Alligator mississippiensis: one gene and its partners. The protein of the gene in region 2 binds, or shares a complex with, the protein of the main gene of each other region. Links are inferred from orthologs where the notes say so. Each region holds a gene or a part of one and is shown on either strand. Other genes may lie near its edges.

What was found.
Region 1: GEMIN5 (region 2) and STRAP share a complex: the UniProt entries of both Homo sapiens proteins name them as parts of the SMN-Sm complex. The link is inferred for Alligator mississippiensis from reciprocal best matches to the Homo sapiens genes GEMIN5 and STRAP.
Region 3: GEMIN5 (region 2) and GEMIN2 share a complex: the UniProt entries of both Homo sapiens proteins name them as parts of the SMN-Sm complex. The link is inferred for Alligator mississippiensis from reciprocal best matches to the Homo sapiens genes GEMIN5 and GEMIN2.

What each region holds. Positions count from the first base shown.
Region 1 is NC_081827.1:120,442,306-120,449,631, reverse strand, and holds the start of STRAP (serine-threonine kinase receptor-associated protein), read right to left. Parts: upstream 4,906-7,326; 5' UTR 4,773-4,905; coding exon 4,661-4,772; intron 3,802-4,660; coding exon 3,666-3,801; intron 2,583-3,665; coding exon 2,501-2,582; intron 2,247-2,500; coding exon 2,174-2,246; intron 834-2,173; coding exon 737-833; intron 1-736. UniProt on the Homo sapiens protein: The SMN complex catalyzes the assembly of small nuclear ribonucleoproteins (snRNPs), the building blocks of the spliceosome, and thereby plays an important role in the splicing of cellular pre-mRNAs.
Region 2 is NC_081832.1:77,078,954-77,086,279, reverse strand, and holds the start of GEMIN5 (gem-associated protein 5), read left to right. Parts: upstream 1-2,311; 5' UTR 2,312-2,347; coding exon 2,348-2,492; intron 2,493-4,313; coding exon 4,314-4,468; intron 4,469-4,956; coding exon 4,957-5,138; intron 5,139-6,148; coding exon 6,149-6,300; intron 6,301-6,552; coding exon 6,553-6,669; intron 6,670-7,326. Other genes in the region: MRPL22 (large ribosomal subunit protein uL22m), read right to left, coding at 2,047-2,092, 2,177-2,222. UniProt on the Homo sapiens protein: The SMN complex catalyzes the assembly of small nuclear ribonucleoproteins (snRNPs), the building blocks of the spliceosome, and thereby plays an important role in the splicing of cellular pre-mRNAs.
Region 3 is NC_081825.1:260,112,021-260,119,346, reverse strand, and holds the start of GEMIN2 (gem-associated protein 2), read right to left. Parts: upstream 3,776-7,326; 5' UTR 3,761-3,775; coding exon 3,510-3,760; intron 3,332-3,509; exon of another isoform or gene 3,279-3,331; coding exon of another isoform or gene 3,124-3,278; intron 1,807-3,123; coding exon 1,722-1,806; intron 1-1,721. UniProt on the Homo sapiens protein: The SMN complex catalyzes the assembly of small nuclear ribonucleoproteins (snRNPs), the building blocks of the spliceosome, and thereby plays an important role in the splicing of cellular pre-mRNAs.

The DNA of each region.
Region 1 (7,326 bases), on a different chromosome or scaffold from region 2:
GAAGGGAAAATAACTTCAAATCCTTCCACCAGGAGCTGGAATAAAACAGAAGAAATCTATTACCTTAACACTACAGCTGATAAAGGACTAAGGGTTTTATAGCAAAGACAGCACCCTAGTCACAGCAGCCAGAAAACTGAGGAAGTGGTAGATTCTCACAGCTTACAATATTGGGAAGGGGGGGGGAGGAGGGAGTGAACAACACCTCCACCTTTCCAGCTGACACAAGGTTTGTGGGGGATTTCATATCTACCCAAGAGGCAAAAATCAAGTAATTAAAGATAGGGATACATTCTTTGTAAGAATCCAATGCTTTCCCCACTTCTCATCACTATGACACATTAGGCATATACACTAGAGAAACCTAAGAACTGCTGGATGGCAGACACTTAACATGTAAAAATCAGATGGCAACAAAACAATTTCACCTCTTAATTAGCTGGCATACCAGAGCTAAATAAAAAACACACACTTAACATTTCTCATCAATTCTCATTATAGAACTGAATATTAAGAAGGGTTCAAGATATAATGCAATGCCACCACATATGCAAGCAATAATCAGGGATTTTTTTTTTTTTTACCAGCTATGTTTATATACTCCAAATACACCAAAAAAGCACCTGATCATTAAAATGCATAACTTGGGTTTAAATTTAAATTAGCTGCACTGCAACCTGATTACATGATGAAATAAAATAAATATTTCATAAGTATGAAAGTTACTGTTTCCTACCGGACAGTTTTATCATCAGCTGAAAGGATCTGTTTGTCATCACTGCTCCAGAAAGCCTTTTTAAGGCCTGAATTATGTCCACTAACCACCTGAGGTTCTGAAGATGAAAGCAAGTATTTTAGTACATAAAACAAAAGAAAAAGGAAAGAATCTCATGACTCAAATCACTATTTATAAGTGCATGTAGCTAATCATTAATAGTGGGGAGAAAAAAAAAAAAATAAATCAACAACCAGCCTTGAGAGTAAAGATGAAAGATACTGTCACAGTATTTGGAATTTTTATCCTGAATTTAATATGTAAGGGTGAGAGAAAACTAGAGTTTTCTTTTTTTTTTTTTTTTTTTAAACTTACGGTATAAATAGATATACACATCCTTTGGAAGCCTCCAAATATAACCCTGAGGGAAGCAAGAACTATTTAGGAGCACTTAAAAATTAAATTATTCCTGTTACATATACACGGTCTAGAAAATATGACAAGAAACCCCCTGGTTCCTCCAGCAGTGATTGTCCCCTTACTCCCACATTCCCACAGGAAGGGCAGGGGGGAGATCAGGATTGTGTCAGTGAGCGCTTTTGTGAGCGCTCTGCACCAGAGCCAGGATTCTTACTCTCCAGCCCCATAACTGCACTCCTTCCCCACCTCTGGTGGGGCAGCAGAATTGGGAAGCACTCCAGGAGAGCAAGTGTGAGGTGGATAGGACAGCCTTCATTGACTTCAGCTCCATTCGCACTCCCTCCATGTAGTTGCAGCTGCACTTTGAAGCATTTTAAACGTTAAGGCTATTCCTATACCCTTAGAGAAATTGCACTGGTTTAGGTTCAGTAACAGAATTAGTTAGATTTGTATAAACTATGCATGGACATTTGCTTTTGTGTTAAGAGCAACTTATTTGATTTAGCTCAAGTCCACTATGAACACGTGTAATTAAAACTGAAATTAGAGCCCCTTGAACAGAAAGAGTGGACACAGGTTTGAGCTACTGAAAAACCTTAAGTTGAACCAGTGCAACTTTACTGCGCAGAGTGACAAGGCCAATGTAATCTAAAAATACTGTGGGCAATTCAAAAGTACCTTATGATAATCAATGTAACAGTTACCAAACACATAACTGCAAGATGTAAACAGAAGCCAAGCAAATACCTGGAATAGATAATTTCAGAAGTTTTGACAACTAAAATAAAACCCTTCAAATCAAACTAATATTGAAAAGAGCATAGGATTTAAGAGCAGTGAAACCCGAAGGCTGCTAGAGATTTCCAGCATGTCCTATTATTATAGGAATTTGTCTCAATTCCATGACTAACTGGGAAAAACAAGACTCCCAATATTTGTAATTTATGAAATTCAGCAGATCTGATCATTTTCAAAGCCAGTTGTATAACAATTAAAAAAAAAGAACTTTAAGTGGGAAGATTTAAAAAGCAGACTTACCTGCTTCTGGCTTGCTCAAGTCATAAATACGCAACAATTTATCTTGTCCACCAGTCAACAGATAATTACTGTCCTAAAATAGCAGAAAACTAGAGTTAGGTTTCTCAACTGAAAATGTGGGTTACAGTTAAAACTCAGGATGATTTTGCAGGCAATCTACTACAGCATATGTTATATTTAATTTATCCCTTCGAAACACAGAGCAGTTAACATGAACCTTCCATTGAAAATAAGCATAAGGAAACAAGGGCCGCAGTAATTAACCATATCCAAGAGTTTCACTCCCTAGGGGAAAAAGTGGGGGTTTGAAAGGGAAGAGAACAGTACCTCAGTAAAATCCACACATTTCACAATGTGCTTGTGAGCTAATGTCATTAGTTCATCTCCTGAAACAGCATCCCATACTTTGCTGAAAGACAGTACAAATACAGTTGTATAGTTACTACTAAGTGCATTGCAACTAAACTAACTATTCAGGTTGCAGCAAGATTTTCCTGAGAACATAATGTAGTGGTTATACATAACTACTACACTCTGGCAACACGTAAAGCCCAACAGTAGAAATGCTTAGTGTTTAAGAACAAATACATCAGAATTTCCAGGGGTGTAGGTTGTAGCCGTGTTGGTCTAAGGACATAGGCAGACAAGGAAGTGTACACACCAACTGCTGAAACTTCCTTATCCAGACAAAGGGTTTTTGAACCTGAAAGCTTGCTTAATAATTGTTTTCCAACTATTTAAGCTGGTCTAATAAAACATATCAAATTCACTCAAAGAACCTTGTCTGCCTTAGAATTTCCATTTCTTTAATTCCTTTGTACCACTCCAAAATAAACAGCCCTTCTCCCTTTAGTAGTAGGTTTGAAAAATGTCTGCCTAAAATTATGAATCACTTGTACATGATCTGCACTCACATTCTTATGAACTATTATACACATACTCTGAGTAGTCTGAACAAAGTTAAGAAAATTGTGTATACAAAAACATTAAGCATGCATGTAAATATTTAGCAAGTTTACAAGAAAATAATTTAACTTGAGAAAAATTAAGTGACAGTAGGTACCAGAAGAAGTCAAATGGGAAAAAAGTAGGTACCAGAAGAAGTCAAATGGGAAAAAAGTGAGAAATGGCAGTTAAAAGAACAAAAAACCCCCCATACTTCTAGAAGACTTTAGCATCCGATATAACTGCAACACAAAAGATTAGAGGCTATCTAAAATTGTTGTTGGTAGACAATTATGTTATTAGTCTATGTCCATAAAAGTAATCCGTTAAGCCATCTCTACAGTTTAACTACCATTACTGTATTACCACAAATATCAACAACCTCACTTTCTATAATTTTTAATACAAGTCTCTGTAAATCGGCCAGGTGTGTAAGAAAGGCAAATATATTTAATGCAGAAACTGCATTTTAAAAAAATTACAAAATTCTAGGATTGCAAACTGAAATCATAATACAGTCAAATTTTAGACATGGTTAATTACTTACGCAGTAAAATCTGCAGCTGCTGTAGCTGCTTTAGTGGCATCCTTGTTCAAAGTGGCACCCCATACGGCACCTTTATGACCCATAAATGTTCCAATCCAGTCTCCTGTGTCACCTTGGCGTAGCATAGGTTTGCCATCTTGGGAAAAAGAAAGATTAACAATCAGATAAAATACATGTACTTAACAATGACTAACAGATCTAAAGAACTCACCCACTACACTCAACTTACTGCTGCTCCTGCCTCTGCGGCACTGTCCCTCACTTCAGGGGCCTCAATCTAGCTCCCACCCCTTCCCTCCCCCATGGATTGACCTGCTGGGCTAGGGCACGCACATGCATGCACACAGGCACTCAGCCCCCCCCCCCCCCCCCCCGCCTCGGATTGGCTCCAAAAGCCTCCAAGATCAACCAGTGGATTGAGATCCACTGGTTGGTGACCACTGACATAGAGGGTCCTCTTAAGGAAGACAATTATTTGGTCAAGGCAATGGGTATGTGCAAAAGATAGTATCCTAAAAAGATACAGAAGAAAGATGTACCCAGGGAAAAATCAGGGACAAGAGGCCATTTGCTGCAATGAATGCACTGCAATCCCGGCAGTGGTGTCAAGCCACAGACACTTTATTCTGAAGGCAGGCACGGGTGGGGCAGGCACCTCTGCAGTCCTCCCATCAGATCCAAATCCAGAACAGAAACAGAACTTTCCTCACAAGCAGGACCTGGGCCTCTGGGGCCCAAGTGGAAAGCAGCCGCCCACGTCCTCCCATTGCCCTAACCAATGGGGCAGCTACGGCCTGGCCTTCCCTCCACCATGTTGACCCTGACCCCCTACCCATGCCTCGTACAGGACACGGGGAGAAGGAAGAAAGGAGAAAGGAGACACCACCCCCCCCCCCCCCCCGCCCCGCGGCCTGGTCGCGAGCGGGGAGGGAAGGACGAGACAAGCCGCGCCCCCCCAGGCCCGGAAGAACACCGCCCCCGCCTCCAGCCCTCACCTTTGCAGGCGCTGATGAGGAAGTAGCCGTAGGGGGTGATTCCGCTGAAGGCCAAGTCCACCACGGGCCGCGTGTGGCCCGAACACGTCAGTGGGGTCTGCCGCATCGCCATGGCGGCGGCGAGCGGGAGAGCGGGCGGCGGCGGGAAGGGGAGACCGCGCGCGCTCGCAAGGACAGGCCACGCGTCGTCAGCCCCCCACTGCCGGGCAGGAAACGGGGAGGTGGCGGAAGTGACAAAGAGGAAGTCGCCGCCGGCGGAAGTGCGTCTCTGTAGGGGAGACCGGAAAATGCGGACTCCCCAACCCCGCTCCACGTGACGACTCAACTTCCGTCACGTGACCGCTCCCTCCTACCCTACCCGCGTTTCCCTGCCCGAGACAAGGGCTCGATAGTGGGCGGGGCCTCGCGCACTAGCCCCTCCCCTGGGGCGGGGGCTGACGCGGCCGTAGTTGGACGCTGTTCGACTTGCAAACAGGGCTCCGAAGCTGCAGCCTGCAGGCCATGCTGTTCTGAAACCTGTGCCGCAGGCGGCCGCCCGCCCACCTCTGCTGCTTTTCTGTCAAAACGTGAAAATAAACCGACGATTCGTTGGGTAAATCTGGCCAACTAAAATGAAGAGACCACATTTACCCAGAGAGCCTTGTCTGCCTGTGTCCTTAGACTAGCGTGGCTACAACACACACCCCTGAACGCAACCTGGCATTTTCTGAGGGAGGGGCGCCATGAATCTAACCAGGCTGAGAAACAGGCGCCCTCCCTTCACGCTCTCTCTTTTTAGCCTGTGGTCCGCCGACCTCCCCCGGCAGACTGGGCACTTTTACCTAGATTTCATAGACATTAGGGCTGGAAGGAACCTTGCCGGATCATCGGGTCCAGCCCCCTGCCCCAGGGGCAGGAAGTCAGTTGGGGTCAGGTGACCCCTGTAAGATAGGCGTCCAGGCATTTCTCAAAGCTATCCGGAGTAGGTGCTTGCACCACTTCTGGTGGGCGTCTATTAGGGCTGTGCAAAACAGCACCTTTTTGTTTCAGTTTCGTTTCGCCTTTTCAAAGGGACAGTGTTTCATTTAGACGTTTCCTTTCAAGCGCGGTTCTGTTTCATTTTGTCAAAACTGTTTCACTGTTCAACGCTGACGCACTTCAACGTTTCGCCCGTCGGCTATAATGGGGACTCACAAAAAATTCCTATAAGTATCATTTTTCGCCTAATTTGAATGAAGACAGCACAGCACATAGCCCCTGCTGAGGCCACAAAGCATGTCAAGTTTCAAGGAGATAAGTGCAGGGGTTTGGGGGAAACTGCACCTCAAACTGTTCAGAGCAAAATTTGTGTCACTTGTAACTGAAGGGCGGGGGGTGAAAACCTCAGGGATGGTAGCCCCTTATGAGACCATGAAGCCTGCCAGGTTTCAAGGAGACAGGTGTAGGGGTTTCTGGGAAACTGCACCTCAGGCAAACTTGTGATGTGTCACTTGGTGTGTGTGTTAAGGTGCGCCCTCACTGGTGCTGGTGCTGGTGTCATCCTACATGACATGGTAGTGTGCCCCAATGAAGTCTCTTCCTCCCCTACAGCCTCATTTCGGTCCACCACTTTAAATAACAACAGGTAAGTAAGCAACACAGTAGCACTAGCATCTCAGGCAGCCAAACTGCGACAGAGCATTTCTTTCTTCTCCTGCAGGAGCTTCTTCTCCCGCAGATGCCAGAGCACTCTCCCTGCCAGCCCTAGCCCTGGGGCTTAGATGTGCCCAGGGCCCTGCCTCCTGGTCAGCTAACCAGGGACAGGTGCTAAGGGGGTTGGTCTAAAGACATGGCACTGGCAGACACGGTTCTTTGGGTCAATCTGGTATCTTTTAGTAGACCGACTGAATATTTGGAGAAATATATCTTAGCAAGCTTTCAGGTTAAAAAACCCTTCATCAGGCTGAAGAAACACCTGCGGTTGGTGTGTGTGCTCTTCCTGGATAGAAGGAATAGTAAAGAAGCCAGAGGCTGGCATGCAATGCAGGCAAGAGAGCCAGTCAGTGAAAATGGAAATGGAAGCATCAGGGGGTGAGGGAAAGGCTGGGATGGGGGGGTGGAAGGAGGATGTAGCAGGTAAAAATGGAGAGGTACCTGGGGAGTCAGATGTCAGTCAGGTTGTAGTGTGTCAAAATTCCACTGTCTATATTGAGTCCATGAGTTTCTGTACCCAGGAGGTTGATGAAGTGCAATTCATAGGCTCATCTGTGAAAAGTGGGTTGTAAATTCAAACAAGCACTGAACCTCACTAACCTCATCACCAGAAGCCAGCTTCCTACAGCCCAAAACACACTGAATGGATCCAGACATGCCATGATAAGACATGTAACACCTGTCAACAATATCTCCATAATGGAGATATCTTCACAATACATATCTCCATCAGGCCTGATGGAAAGTACGTAGGAGACACCAAGTCTGTACATCAGAATGAGTGCACACCAAAAATCTATCAAAGACAAGAACACCCAACTACATGTCTCCAGTCTCTCAGGCCTGATCCTCAAAGGGAATTTACAAACCACTTTTGGTTTGCTCACGACACTTCTCCTGGGTTTGACTAGCTGTAAAGATCATGTCCGCAGATCCTCACAATAGTCTGAAGCCACTTTGAGATTCTAGAAGGATTTCTTCCGCAAGTGGGAGAA
Region 2 (7,326 bases):
TCATAGATGTTAGGGTCGGAAGGGTCCTCAATAGATCATCGAGTCCGACCCCCTGCATAGGCAGGAAAGAGTGCTGGGTCTAGATGACCCCAGCTAGATGCATATCCAATCTCCTCTTGAAGACCCCCAGGGTAGGGGAGAGCACCATCTCCCTTGGGAGCCCGTTCCAGACCTTGGCCACTCCAACTGTGAAGAAGTTCTTCCTAATGTCCAACCTAAACCTGCTCTCTGCTAGCTTGTGGCCATTATTTCTTGTAACCCGAGGGGCGCCTTGGTGAATAAAACCTCACCAATTCCCTTCTGTGCCCCCGTGATGAACTTATAGGCAGCCACAAGGTCGCCTCTCAACCTTCTCTTGCAGGGGCTGAAGAGGTCCAGGTGCCCCAGTCTCTCCTCGCAGGGCTTGGTCTGCAGGCCCTTAACCATACGAGTGGCCCTTCTCTGGACCCTCTCCAGGTTATCCATATCCCTCTTGAAGTGCGGCGCCCAGAATTGCACGCAGTACTCCAACTGCGGTCTGACCAGCGCCCGATAGAGGGGAAGTATCACCTCCTTGGATCTGTTCGTCATGCATCTGCTGATGCACGATAAAGTGCCATTGGCTTTTCTGATGGCTTCGTCACACTGCCGACTCATGTTCATCTTGGAGTCCACTAGGACTCCACGATCCCTTTCCACTTCCGTGCCACCCAGCAGGTCATTCCCTAGGGGACATGTCCCATGTCCTTCGCTACTAGCATGCCCACCCCAAATCTTGGTATCATCAGCAAATTTAAATAGGCTGCTTTTCACCCCATTGTCCAAGTCACTAATAAAGAAACTGAACAGCGCAGGCCCAGAATAGCTATTACACACCATTCTCGATTTTCTGGCTCTTTATCCATTGGTTTTTCGTTACATAACAATGGTCCTCACAAAAACGAACCCCCAGCCTATCAAAGTCTGAAGTTGGTTGATACTTACCCACTTGTTGGTTATTTGACCGTTAACTTCAGATTACAGTACTGATTTTTACCTTTGCCAATGGCAAAATATAAAACAAAGCCTAATTTTTTTAAGTTATGGGTCACAGACAGAAGTATGTTTCCTTTACAATGAAAGCTACTCCCCCAACTACTTTTAAATGGTTAAGCCAATTTTGATCTGATAATTAACAAGAAGAAATGAAAGACTAAGGTGTTGCGTAGATAGAGAAAAATCCCAGATTTCTACAACTTTCAAACATTCCCCAACCGGAGAAGACAAAAGCTGTTTATTTGAGATATAGATATCTATAGATAGATAGATATAGATATACCTCTCTCTCTCTCTCTCTCTCTCTCTCTCTCTCTATATATATATATATATATATATATATATATATATATATGATGCCCTCTGCTGGCCAAATACTGAGGTGATAAGTGGGCAGCCAAACCTGTTGATTTTTGTGAATGAAATCAATAAGTGAAGCCAGGAGCAAACCATTTAAGCCAACTCTTTTCTTGCATGGCATATTACTTTTCTGAGTCAACTTTAAAGAGGTTTTAATCGATACTCTTAAGTCAAATAGTATGTAGACTTCTGGATACTAGAAAACTGTTAGAAATTCAAATTACTGTCACATCACATTTTGGTTAGAAATACCCAGTATCTATGCAAAGAGTTGTAAATGAGAACAACATCAGTCACCATAAAACTACATCAATTCCTAAAACTGAAATAGGAAAAAAAAAAAAAAACCCATTCACGCCTCTGCTTGAAGGCCAGATTCAGGCCAAGGACACTCGCTTTGTTGAAGCAATGGGAAAACGCACGTTAGAAGCCATCAGCCGGTCCCATCTCCCTCAAACCAGGTTTTAAGAGAGCAATTGAATTCAAGATATTTCACACCTGCTTTGACAACAGCCTTTTCCAAGCCACTATTTCCACCGCAGGTTTTTTTAAACACGTTTCTTGCCTCGTAACTCACGTGTCATAGTTTGCATTCGGCTTCAACATCGAAATGCAGCCGCTCCCCTCTCCCACACTGAGGGCACACAAGATGGGGAGCGGGGATAGACTCACCTCTCCGGCCAGGCCCCGAGGAGCATCCGCCGCGCCCAAGCGAGGCCTGCACGAATAGAAAAACGAAACACAACCCTACATGAGCCTCAAAACCACCACCCAGCGTCTTCCCCAACCTCCCCTCACTCACCCGCCATGGCCGCCGCCATTGTGGCCGCCTCGCTTTGACCGCGCATGCGCGGAACCCAGCGCATGCGCAGAGTGGCACCCGCGCATGCGCCGAACCAACGGCGGGGAGGTCAAAGGTCGTTTTGCGACCCTTGACAGCAGCGCCGGGCAACGGCAGAGCCGCGGGCACGCGATGGCGGCGGAGCGGCTCCTGCCCGCCTCGCCCAACTGGTACCTCAGCCGCTGCAGCGACGCGAGCGCCGGCGCGCGGCTCTTCGGCTTCGCGGCCCGGAACAGCGTCTACCTGCTGCGGGTCGGCGCCCAGCCCGCCTTCCACGGTACCAACCCCGCGATCCCGGCCCCGGGGCAGCACGAGGGAGCATCCTGCCCCGCAACAGGCGCTGCTTCCCCCCCGCCACGTGTTAAGCCTCCATCAGAGGCCCCAGGGGCGCGTTTATACCCGTAACCGTAAAAAAAACCCAAACCTTTAAATACCATTTTAAAGCCGTCAGTCTTACACACGTGCCCGTTAAAGCGTCGCGTGAGGGGACGTGCCGACGCGCCGCTGAGGAGCAAAACAGGCCGCGCAGCATCGAGCCTGGCTCAAAAAAAAAGCAGTGTTTTTGCTACCGCGTGTTCGGGCAGCCTCGTGTGCGTGTGCTTTATTTAGCACGTGGGCGTTTGAGCTAAAGCTCGTTCAGCCGTCTTTAGATACAGCGTCCCCGCTGCCATTTTGAACCAAAGGGGATGCTGATGCACAAGATGCTCCGGGAGCTTTATTTAGAGCCCCTCTAATTAAAGCGTTTCCCCCCCCCCCCCCCCCCGACGGTGGGGGGCACGTGTATAAACGCTCCGAGGTTCTAAGTTTAATGCGCATTAGGAAAGACGGACTAATGCATGTGTAGACACGCCCTCGGTGTTGGCCGCAGCCCAGGCTGGGGATCTGTGGCCGTGCTCCTGCTGGGACTCGACCCGGAGGGTCCTGGCTAGCGGATCCTTTCCCTCCACTCGGTGTCAGACCAGTGCTGCGTTGGGGGCAGGGAGGAATCCCCCCCCCCCCCCCCAGTCAGATTGGTATGAACTATGCAGGATTTTGCTTTCCCCTGTAGTCGGCCTTTACCTGAGATCTTTTAACCATGTGTTAACAGCCTTTTATAGGAGCAGGACGTTGGCTGCTTTCCCTGTGGCAGGTTCAGGTGTGATGTCCATGTTGTGTCCGGGTCGATGGTAGTTTCACTAAGAGGTTAGATAGGTGGGGAACGGTTTGGATAGAGCCGATCCTGCCTCGAGCAGGGGTTGGACTAGATGTGACCCCTAGAGCTCCCTTGCAGCCCCACGGCTCTAGGATGCTGTGCGCTGCGATTCACAGATTAACCGCGGAGATGGCAGATGGGAATCCGTCGTGTTAAAAGCGTCCTGCCCTGCTCTGCGCTTCTGCGGTTCCTTGGAACAAAAGAATCGCCCCGTTGTTTTTCAGGAGTCGAAAAGCAAATGAAAGCCAAGAGCTGGCATTTTCTAACAGAGTCTTTGAGCCTAACAAGGGGTCTGAGAACCGCTGATCCAGAGTGGTCTACCCTGTTATACCCTCCCTCGCATGCACCATCCTCTGTTAATTCAGCAAGTACCTTGTGAGAAGCACATGAAAAAGGAAGGTTCAAGGGTGTCAACGGTGGCATCCCTGACTTTTCTGTTTCATAGCTATTAATGGATCTCATGCATGAAATTGTCCTGTCCCTTTTCACCCTGGCTGAACTATCTGCCTCTACAATGTCCTGTGGCAGGGAGTTCCACTAATTAACTGTCCACTGCATAAGAAAGCATTTTCTCTTATTAGTTTTTTGCCTGTCTCCTGCTCATTTCAGTGGCTGTCCCCTTATTTTAGTATTCCGGGAGTTGGTGAATAACTGTTTCCTATTCATTTTGTCCACACTTTTGTTTTCTGTGGAGTGTGGGACATGCAGGGATGAGTGTGTGATTCTCCTGCTTCCAGCCACTTTTACCCCAGTTGTTTGTTAGTGGATGTTGCAATGCATAATATTGAATCTTTTGTATCGGGTAGTTTGTAGAAAGAGTACTCGTTCAGAGATGGGGAAAGGACAGCAGTTTCTCACCAAGAATTCGGTCTGTGAATGTTTCCTCTTTTTGTATTTCAAACCTAGGAGAGCTCATCGGTCATACAGAAAGGGTTTCTGGATTTACCTTTTGTCATTTCCCTGATCAGACCAACCTCTGCGCGAGCAGCTCAGATGATGGAACCGTGAAAATCTGGGATACTCAGACTCTGTCTCTTGTAACTGAGCATACGCTCCATCAGGTATAGTAGCCAATAACCAGGTCCGTGTGGCTGTAGGAAAACCACTAGAACAAGCGTTTTCCCAAAGCTTTTATTAGCTAAACAGGGGGCAGAAATACATGCTGGGACCAAATAAGAAGATCCATGTAGGGATCTACACCAGTTTCATTAAACTAATTTTAAAATCCATGTCAGTTAAATCAGTGAAGGTTTTCTGTTTGTTGGTTGGTTGGTTTGGGAAAAAACATTTAGTGTGGAGGACATCCTGGTAAGCAATTGTGTGTGGATCCCTTTGCAATCTTAATTTCCTGGCAGATCTTTGACAGCTACAGCAGTGACTTTCCCGATCTTGCTCCGTATGTAAACATTAATGCCTTTAGTTATCTTAACCGAGGATAAAACTCCTACCACTTTAGCTGCCTCATTTAGTATTGTTTCACGGTTCATCTCTGCCTAATATGGGGCTAGAGACAAGACTTTGTCATGCCCTGGTTAATCTGCATTTTCAGAATACAATCTCAGCCTTGCATTGGTCACCCCTTGTGAAAGATCTGGTTGTGTCTGGTGATGAGAGAGGCATCATCGTTTGTTATTGGCATAACAGAAATGACAGCCAACAGTTCTTCCCTGAGCCTAGGACCATCTTCTGCCTCACGTGTTCCCCTCACCAGGAGAATCTGGTAGCTATTGGGTAAGTGTTAATTATGTTGCTCCCTTTTCTTATGCTGCAAGGTAGATGGTGTGTGTGTGTTTTCATTGCAGCATAATTTTAAGGCTATTCTTTCAGAAATGGTGGTGGTGGTTTAGGAATTTGGCTAGTTCTCGTTGGCTAGAGTGGCAGGAGGGAAAAAGAAGAACCTAAATGAACAACCTACTTATCGGCTTTCTGTTGTATAATGGAGAAGTCTTGTAGTAACCCAGAAATGCCGGATCTCACAGACTCACTGGTCTTAGAAAGTTTATAGCAGTATGTGAATCTGGGCTGACTGTCAGGCTACAACTCATGTAAGTGACTGGGTGTTGGGAACAGAGCTGGAGGTAACAAGATAACTGTGTTTGCTGACTCTGTGGCTTTGACCTAAACAGTTCCACAAACCGATGGTTTGTATGGTTTTCTTTTTGTGCCACTCCCCATAGCTTCATGAGGCTTTTGCTGCCTACTGCAGTTCCAGCCCTCTTGATGCACAGCACCTGTTCCTGCTTTATGCTGGATCCATTGTGATGGATACTTGGCAATCTAAGACAAGATTATGTGGAGGGAAAGCTAACACAGGACAGGGGAGGGCATGAAATTAATTTTAGGAAAAGAAATTAAATCTTTCTGAACAAAAGATCCCTTGCTTTTTAAGTTCCCCAAGGTCAGTAGTGTTGATCCTTGGGGGATCATTGTCTCGTATGTTGCATTACTCCTGGAGGTATGTTAGTTTACACCAGCTGAGGATCTGACCCATGCATGCAAGAGGCAGTATGTCCTAGTGCATAGAGCATTGTGGAACTCCATGTACCTGGGATCTTCCCAACTTGGCCTCTAGCTTCATGGATGACCTTGGTCATGTCTCTCTCCATGCGTAAGATGGGGATAGTGATGCTTACCTTCTTGGCAAAGCACTTTGCTAACAAAAGTCACTATATGCCAGTTCAGTATCATTGTTATGAGACTCTTAAGCATTTTTTCATCACTGTCTAACTGCTTGTTTTTAGTTACAAGGATGGCATGGTGGTTATAATTGACATCAGCAGGAAAAAAGAAATTGTTCATCGCCTGAGAGGTCATGATGATGAAATACACTCCTTGGCATGGTGTCCTGTGCCCAATGAAGAAGGATTATATAGTTGGCAAGAAGAGCTTCAAGGTACACACAAACTATTAGGGGACTCCGAGTAATTCCTTGTAACCAAATCAGTTCCTTGTTTCATTAATAAAAATAGGAGTCTGAGGCAGTCTGGGATTCAGTCTGATTTAAAATAAACTCAGTCTGCTTTACAGAAAAATCTGTTCTTTGGGCAGCATAGCTGAACTTCATCATCTTTGCTTTTTATTTGTGCTTTGTATTTCCCAAGTGTTTTACCATTGTTTTAACACCATTTGATATTTCTCTTGAAAGCAGGTGAGGTTCCAAATGGGGAGCTAACACAGGAGGCAGCTGTAGCAAAAGGTTGTTACCTGGCTTCAGGAAGCAAAGATCAGACCATCCGGATCTGGAGCTGTGCTAGAGGCAGAGGTGAGCCAAAACATTTCTCTAAGGCAATAGTGGTACTATGCATGGACGGTATGTCTTAAGCATGCTTTCTGTGTAGTAGCCCGGTGACTTAGCAATGCAGACGGCATTCTGGGATGACTGAACAGATGTGGCCATATGCAAGACATAAGATAATTATTTCATTCTCTTCGTTGCTGTTGAGACTTCCATCAGAGTAGTACACCCACTTTTGGGCAGTGTAGTTAAAGAAAAATGTAGTCATATTGGCAAGAATCCAAAGGAGGGCAGCAAGAATGGTAAGGACTTTAGAAAACAAGACTTGGGAGGAAAAGTTGAGAGAATTGGATTTGTTTAGTTTTAAAAAGGGAAGACTGATGAAGGACATTATAGCAAGTTTTTCCATACTGGAAGACTTATTCAAATAGTGATCAGTTATTTGCTGGAGTAGAGAAGAAATCAGCTTAATTTTACAGCAAAGGTGATTTAGGTTACATATTAGGAAGAACTTTCTGGGAAGGTAATGACGGACTCAAACAGGTTACTTAGATCATGGAATCTTCTTCATGGGAGGCTTTAAGAACAGGTTAAGAAAATATCTGTCAGGGATACTGTAGGTATATTTATCTGGCCTCAGCCTAGGAGGATGGAGTAACTGATCTCTTAAGGTCCCTTCCAGTA
Region 3 (7,326 bases), on a different chromosome or scaffold from region 2:
AACTGGTTATAAAAAAGCCATGCAAGTGTCCAAGAATGTACTCTGCAAACAAAAGATAGTGCTGGAGTAGCACTTATCAACACAAATAGAGATATGATATAATTGCATCTTAACTGTTTTGTAATAAGCCTTTTTACATTGCTTATAAAGAAATGCAGTAAATATGGTAACATTTCCACAATTTTGTTGTATTTCTATACACCAAATGTAACTGCCAACTGAAGGTACAAATAAAATATACCTTCAGCTGGCAGTTACATTTAGTGTATAGAAATACAACAAACCTGTGGAAAAGTTACCATATTTACTGGAGTCTGCAGTGACTCTGAATGTAATTGGTTATAATTTTCCAAGTATAGGATCTAATTATTGGAGATTCATCTTTCATTCATCCCCCCACTGCTGTAGGGGAGCAGGCAGGAGGAGGGCATGTAGTATGGGAAGGTCAAGAAACTTGTCCTCTACCATCTCTGCCTCCTGCCTGCCTCTGCCAGCCTTTGCTCCCTACTTCCCCTCCAGCCTCTGCTCCAGGCCAGCAGGCTCCGTCCCCATTCTAGCCTGAGGCATTGAGCACAACCACAGTCTGGTCCTGTAAGACCAGCCATGCTGGTAATGTGCCACTTCTATGTGACCAGGAAGGGGCTGTGCTCAGTGCCCCAGGCTACAGCATGCACAAAGCACGAATAAGGGGGGCACTCACTGCTGGGGGTACCAGACACAGTGGACAGACAGGGTCTCCATGGAGACTGGACTGGGAGCCCCAGACAGGGTGCACTAGGCCGGGCAGATGGAATGGGACTGCAGGGTGGTGACAGCACAGGGCCGGGTCCTGGGGCAGAGCCGCAATCTGCTCTCGACATCATGGCTCTGCCCAGGCCTCAGCCCTGTGCTGTTACTGCCCTGCAATCCTGGCCCCACCCACCCATCCTAGCTTTAGACACTGCTTCTTGCACGCCCACAGCCCCATTCCATCCGCCCAGCCTAGTGTGTCCTGTCCATGGAGGTCCCAGGCCAGTGTCTATGGAAACCCCACCTGCCCCAGCACCCCCAAATGATAGGTGCGGGGTAGATGGACCAGGATGCCCAGGCAGCAGGGCTGGATCCAGTGGCAGTGGCAACATTGGCAGTAGCAGCCAGAAAGAGCAGCCACCAACAAGGATGCCAGGAAACAGTCTGGCTGCCACGCTGCCCCAGCCCCACTGTGTGCCTGGGGACGATGGGACCATCCACACGCACCAAAGCCTAGGCTGCCACCTGCACCTCAGCCAGATGGGTCTGAGTGACCCGCCACGACCTGGATAAAATGCTTGGTGGACCAGATCCAGCCTATGGGTTGTATTCTGGCCACGCCTGGGCTGAAGTCTTAGCTTCTGTAGCTGCCTGCTCTCTGTCCTTGTATTCACTTCTAAGACAAGGGGATTCCCTCTATATGAAGTGGGGGGAACCCTCATATTAGAATGAAGAAAATATGGTATACATTAGAACAACTGAGTTTTACAGAGACTGTAGTTTTTCCACCAATTCAGAATTTGGACTGCAGGGCTGGAGATTCCATTTACTTGTCCAAATTCTTTTAAGATATAGGGACAGTATATTTTAAAATTTACTTGAGACTTCCAGGTATTTTAATACAAATATTTTTCTATCCTAGAATTCTCATTTCATTTATTTTAGTCTGTGTTTTCTATAAGTCTCTTAAGAACATATCTCTACAAACTTACTGAAATATTCACGGTCTGCTTCTTTCTCAGCTTTTTGGGGTCTATCTGTGCCACAACAACATCTGGGCATTGTGAAGCTTCAATCCTAAAAAGAAAAAAACGCCACACATTTGTAATCCCTCTCTGCTGCATTCCTTAGAATTACATAATTAGTTTGCAAATAGTTGTAATATTTGCATAGGGACCAGATCAAAATATGAGGCACTTGCACAATTAAGTTGTGTATGAGAATGTATTAAAAAATGAAAAGAAGAGAGAATGCTTCTAGGAGAGGGTATGCAGCAAGGTTTTAACAGAAACAAACAAACGGAATAGAAACAAATGCAGGCATCTTTTAAGCTTGCTATTTAGGCCACAGTAGGTATATACCCTCATTTTATAGAGAGAAAATGAGAGCAGAGGTTAATTTGTTTTAAATGAGCCAAGCTGTGGCAGTCAGCAGAATCCCAAATCCCCAACTCCAGGAGTTCTCTGCCTTAGCCACAGGACCACCTTTCCTTTGGAGGCAGCAGTGAAGGCTATTACCTATTGACATATACAGCTAGTAAGATTGCATTTTAATCCTTCTGATTAAAGTAAACTGGATAAAGACTCCAAATGCTCCCATGTTACTCAAGAGGAGGTTAGATGAGTATCTAGCTGGGGTTGTCTAGACCCAGCGCTCTTTCCTGCTTATGCAGGGGGTCTGACTCGATGATCTATTGAGGTCCCTTCTGACCCCAACATCTATGAATTCCAACATAATACTGTGGGGGTGGAAAACAGATCATGATGTGCAGCATGGGGTCAAAGAGTCCTAAGAGAAACTACCCTGATACACAGATGAACATGGCTGAGTCATGTTGGGGGGGGGGGGGGGGGAAGAGGGGCGGATTGTGTGTCGGAGTGTGCAAGCAAGTTTCTATTTAAGTTGGTGTTAACAAAAAATGTCAAGATCTTAAACAAGGAAAGAGCAGTTACATTCACTGGCACCAAACTCAGCAGTTATTGGCACTACAGTGGCACTTGGGGGCTCCAGAGGAGAGTGAGCAGGGTGAGATGGTGCTGCCCAGACATGCAGCCCAGAGCATCTCCCTCTCAGAAGATTTGCGGCAAAGACCCCAGTGGGTCCTACAGTATGCAGTGCACTAGCTCCTGCATCCCGCAGGGCACTGACACGAGGCTAGGCGGTGCAGCAGCACCGGGGCAAGGCAAAGGGCTCCCGGTGGTCAAGCCGGTGCTTCAGTCTCCCATGGGGTCCCTCCGAGCCAGCCCAGCTGCAGAGCTCGGGGGAGCTGCTTCCCGCGGAGGCGGGCGGCGCTAGAACGTGCAGTGGGACGGGCGGTCCCAGCCCCGGCCCCGTCTCCGTCCGCTCCGCTCGCCCCAGAGCGGGGGGCGGCTCCTGCTCCCCGCTCCCACTTACTGCACCCGCTTGAGATACTCCTGCGGCGTCCGCGGGGGCGCGGTGGGATCGAAGTCCTCGGCGAGCTCGCAGTCCCATACTGGCAGCAGCCGCGGCATCAACTCCTCCATCCCTGCCTCCATGCCCGCCAGGACGGGCGCGCTCAATGATGTCATCCACCCGCAACTCACCGAACAATAGCAAACACCACCCCTAGCCACCAGCGGCGGGCGCGCTCGGTGACGTCACTCAGTCGCGACTCGCAAAGTGAAGATAACGTATAGGTGTGTACGCCCCGCCCCGCCCCCTGGGCTCTGCCTCGAAGGTGGTGACGCCCCTTGGCGGGGGAAGGGGCGGTGCTTGGGGCTAGAGCTGCAGCGCCCGCCGCGGCCGTTCTGGGGACTTACTGGCGATCTCCCCCGGCCGGGCCGCGGGGGAGGTGCTGCTGCTTGTTGCCCACCACCGGCCCGCGCCTTCTGTCGTGCAGGGGGCTGTGGGCAGGGCAGCCTGGCGTGCCGGGGTCTTCCCGCAACGCGGCTGTCGCGCGAGCTCGGGGCCCTGCGCCCTGCAGCGCAGGAGCGCGGAGGGAGGGGAGCTCAGTCAGGGCTCTCCGGTCGGCCTCCCACGCGCTGCGTGGGCACACTGGCCCCAGAAACATGACACTATCTAGTCGCAGCGGGACTCTGCCTGGGAGGAGGATTACTAGAGGTGAACGATGGTGCAGTCAGCTCCTGAGTGATTTAAAAATACCACATATCTTTTATTAGGTCAACGTGAATGGAAACATTCTTCTTTACAAGCTTTCGAGTACAAATACCCTTTGTCAGGCAGAGGAAGTGTCTGCCTGAAGTGTACCTGAAAGCTTGCAAAGAAGAATTTTTCCAACTATTTGAGTTGCTCTAATAAAATACCACAGCACCTCATTAAACTTCCCAGTAGTTACACCAACTCATATGTGCTCATTTGAATGATAAAAGTCAGATGTTACTAGAAGAGCAGAACCTGCAGGGTTCTGGTGAAGTGGGATGGATTCTTTCCCTGCTAATCTGTTACCACTTGGTTCCATGTGAGGACTCACCTATAATTGCAGGGACCTCTCTGAAGTTAAAGAGGACTCTGTGCAGAGTTGTCCATTGGGGTCTGGAGTTACCCCATTTCACAGATTGGAAACTGCAGCACTGAGATGCTGTTGAGTGGAGTGGGGACTTGAAAGTAGGTCTCCCAGTCCTTAAGGTAGCTCCAAGTTACTGGACCACCTATCCTTTCTGACACTTTACCCCTGTTCTGTACAGATCTACCCAGTCAGTTTGCTACTAGGATGAATAGTAATGAATGACAGAAAGTCAGCTAAAATATTTACTAAAGAAATCATTCTTATTTCATCTTTTCATCATCTTTGGGGCTTCCATAATGAAAGTTGGATTGTGGTTGAGGATGGATAGGAGGAAGCTCTTAAATCATCATGGTCTCTACAATGCTCAATGCAGCTTCTTGAAATGGTAGCCTTTGTTCTAGACAAAGAAATATTAAACACCATTGTGCACAAGCAGTTGTGTGATATTAATCTATAACTACCAAATAATGAAATCTTCAACAAGCCACTGAGTCTTTAATAACAATTCTAGGGACCTGTGCATAAAGCTCAGCATTAGCAAGTGGTTCTTTCAGGTCTAGTACTTAAGAACAAAATCCTGCTCCATTTCAGTCAACAGAAGTTTTCCATAAGTAAATGTACTGTGTTCATAATTTGTCCCATTTGGGAGTTCCCTTTGGCTTCTGTAAAAGTAGACAGAGAGCGTGTCTGTCTACATGTGCATTAATACACTTTTTCTAATGCGCATTAAATTTAGTACCTCCAATGTAAGGTACTAAATGTGCATTAGGCTGCCTTAATGTGCAGTAGCACAAGCTCATGTTTTTAGGTGCCACTTAATGCACAGTAGCTTATTTTACTGTGTATTAGCATAATAGCGCTGTTTTTTATACACTGCTTTAACGCACGGTAAAATAGGCTACTGTGCATTAAAATACATGTGTAGACATGCCCAGATAAATGTAATTATGAGTTTGATGTGAATTGGACTTTTGTATAGATAGATTACACTGTCAGTTTGGGGTATACCTCAGAAAAATAACTATCAAGGACTTCAAAATCAGTTATTTTATTTCTTTTTCATCTCACTTCTATGTATTTCCTTATTTCACCTGAAAGAGGATACATACAAACTCTCTTAATGAAAAGCAAATAACTCTTTTAAGAAAAATGTTAACTATTATATAGAATATGAAATATTCCCTACCCATCATATAACATGGGGATAATAATACTTGTTTCCTGTATAAAGCACTGAGTGATGGATAAAAATATACAAGAACATGGTGCTTGATTCAGTCGGTGGTACAGATATCCTATTGACTTCATCCCAAAAGGCCAGTGCATGGATATTAAATTTGATTGCATATTCTGTAGTTATACAGGCTTAATTAGATCCTATATGAAAAGCACCAGTAATGCCAGGCCAAAGTCTAACTGAAAGTCCCCACCAGTGTAAATCTGTAGGCAGTGTAGTTTAAACTGTTATTTATTAAGTTGCTAACTCAGAAGTCACTGCTAACACATATTCTTTGTGTTTTCTTTCTACAATAATTTTGATATAGACTGAGCTGTGCTGTGCTATCCACAATCTGGATGTTCTGCATGCATGGTAAAGATCAAGGGGTAACCCAAACCACTAGACTAGCCTCTTATCTCCATTTTTTAAAGTAGTATTGGTTATTTCTGAAGGACTATATTTTCTGAGCAGTTTTGAGCAAACACTACCCTAGAACTTTCCTCTCCATTTAATTTTTATTTGCTTTTAAGGTGTTTCCTGAAACCGTTTATGTGTAACAATCTGCTTTCTTCTGGAACCGGATGTAACTTCCTATTTCTGTGTGCAAAAAGTGTGGTCGTCATCACTTGAAAGAAGACCTGCTTAATTAAAACTACAATTGCATTTCTGCAGAATTTGACATGGTAGCCAAGAAAAGCCTGAACTCTATCAATCTGTAAATGGATATACTGAAAATATTCAGATGTTAGGAATTATAAATGTATATGTTCTGAAGAAAGGAATTATAAAAAAGAAAACAAAAACCAAATGCAGCATTATGATACAATTGTAAATATAAATTACGTTAAAATGATTTTTTTATTTTGATTTTTAAAGTTGAATGACATACATTCAATTAGCCACTTTTAAACTGTTGCAAGCAACAAAAGTGGTTTTCTAAAGATATCAAGATCACTGCTGACAAGACTTAATAATATAGTTCATTGAACATCTGGTGGAGCTAAACATGATTCAGCAGGTGAAGAAGAGAAAACTGTCAAAGATGAAAACTCTATCTTTTTATCAACTGCCTAGGAAACATAAAGGAGAAATTTCCCAATGGGAAGGTAAGTTGCAACCTGGGAATATTTGCCAAAAACTTTAAATGTAATATATACATCTAACATGGAAATAAGTGAAGTGTAACTGCATATTGAATACAAGGGGTAACAGAAAGATGTCATTATCTTAGTAGTACTCCCTGTTTAGAACCCAGATCTCCATTTTATTTTTCTACCTATCCATTCATCTTAGTACTTTTGCTTCTCTGCGTGTTCTCTATCATTATATTATCTGTGACACCTTCTCGGAAGGAAGTTTAAGATGCAAGTAATGCAGGATTTTGTCCGTATCAAAATGAAATCTAGTTTTTTTAATCATGTTAATAACGAAATGATTTTACACCTGTTATCCTCACTGGGATTTCACAATGGTACTCTCCTGGTTTTTTCCTTCCTCTCTTTCTATTATTATCTCATTTGTCTCCTTTTGCATGCCATCTACAGGCATGCCCAGAGTTACATCTCTTTCTGCTTTACACCCTTTCTTGGACAATCACTATAGTACTTGAGCATTCTCAGAACCTGCAGTACTGAGGGAGTCTTTCACTTGCTGAAACATCATTTATCAAGCAGATATTAGTCATCCCACAGCTGTGTGTATAGTTTGTCCTCTGTACAGGATATAACCAAATAATAGGGAGATAACATTTGGGGTTCCATTCTGTGTTGCAGGATAAGGAGCCCAGATATTCTTTATAACCCACAGCTCAATATCCCTTCCACCTGATGATGGCATTAGAATGGGTGGCACAGTCCTTCCATTTGGGTATGTCCTGTTTTTGGTTCAGATG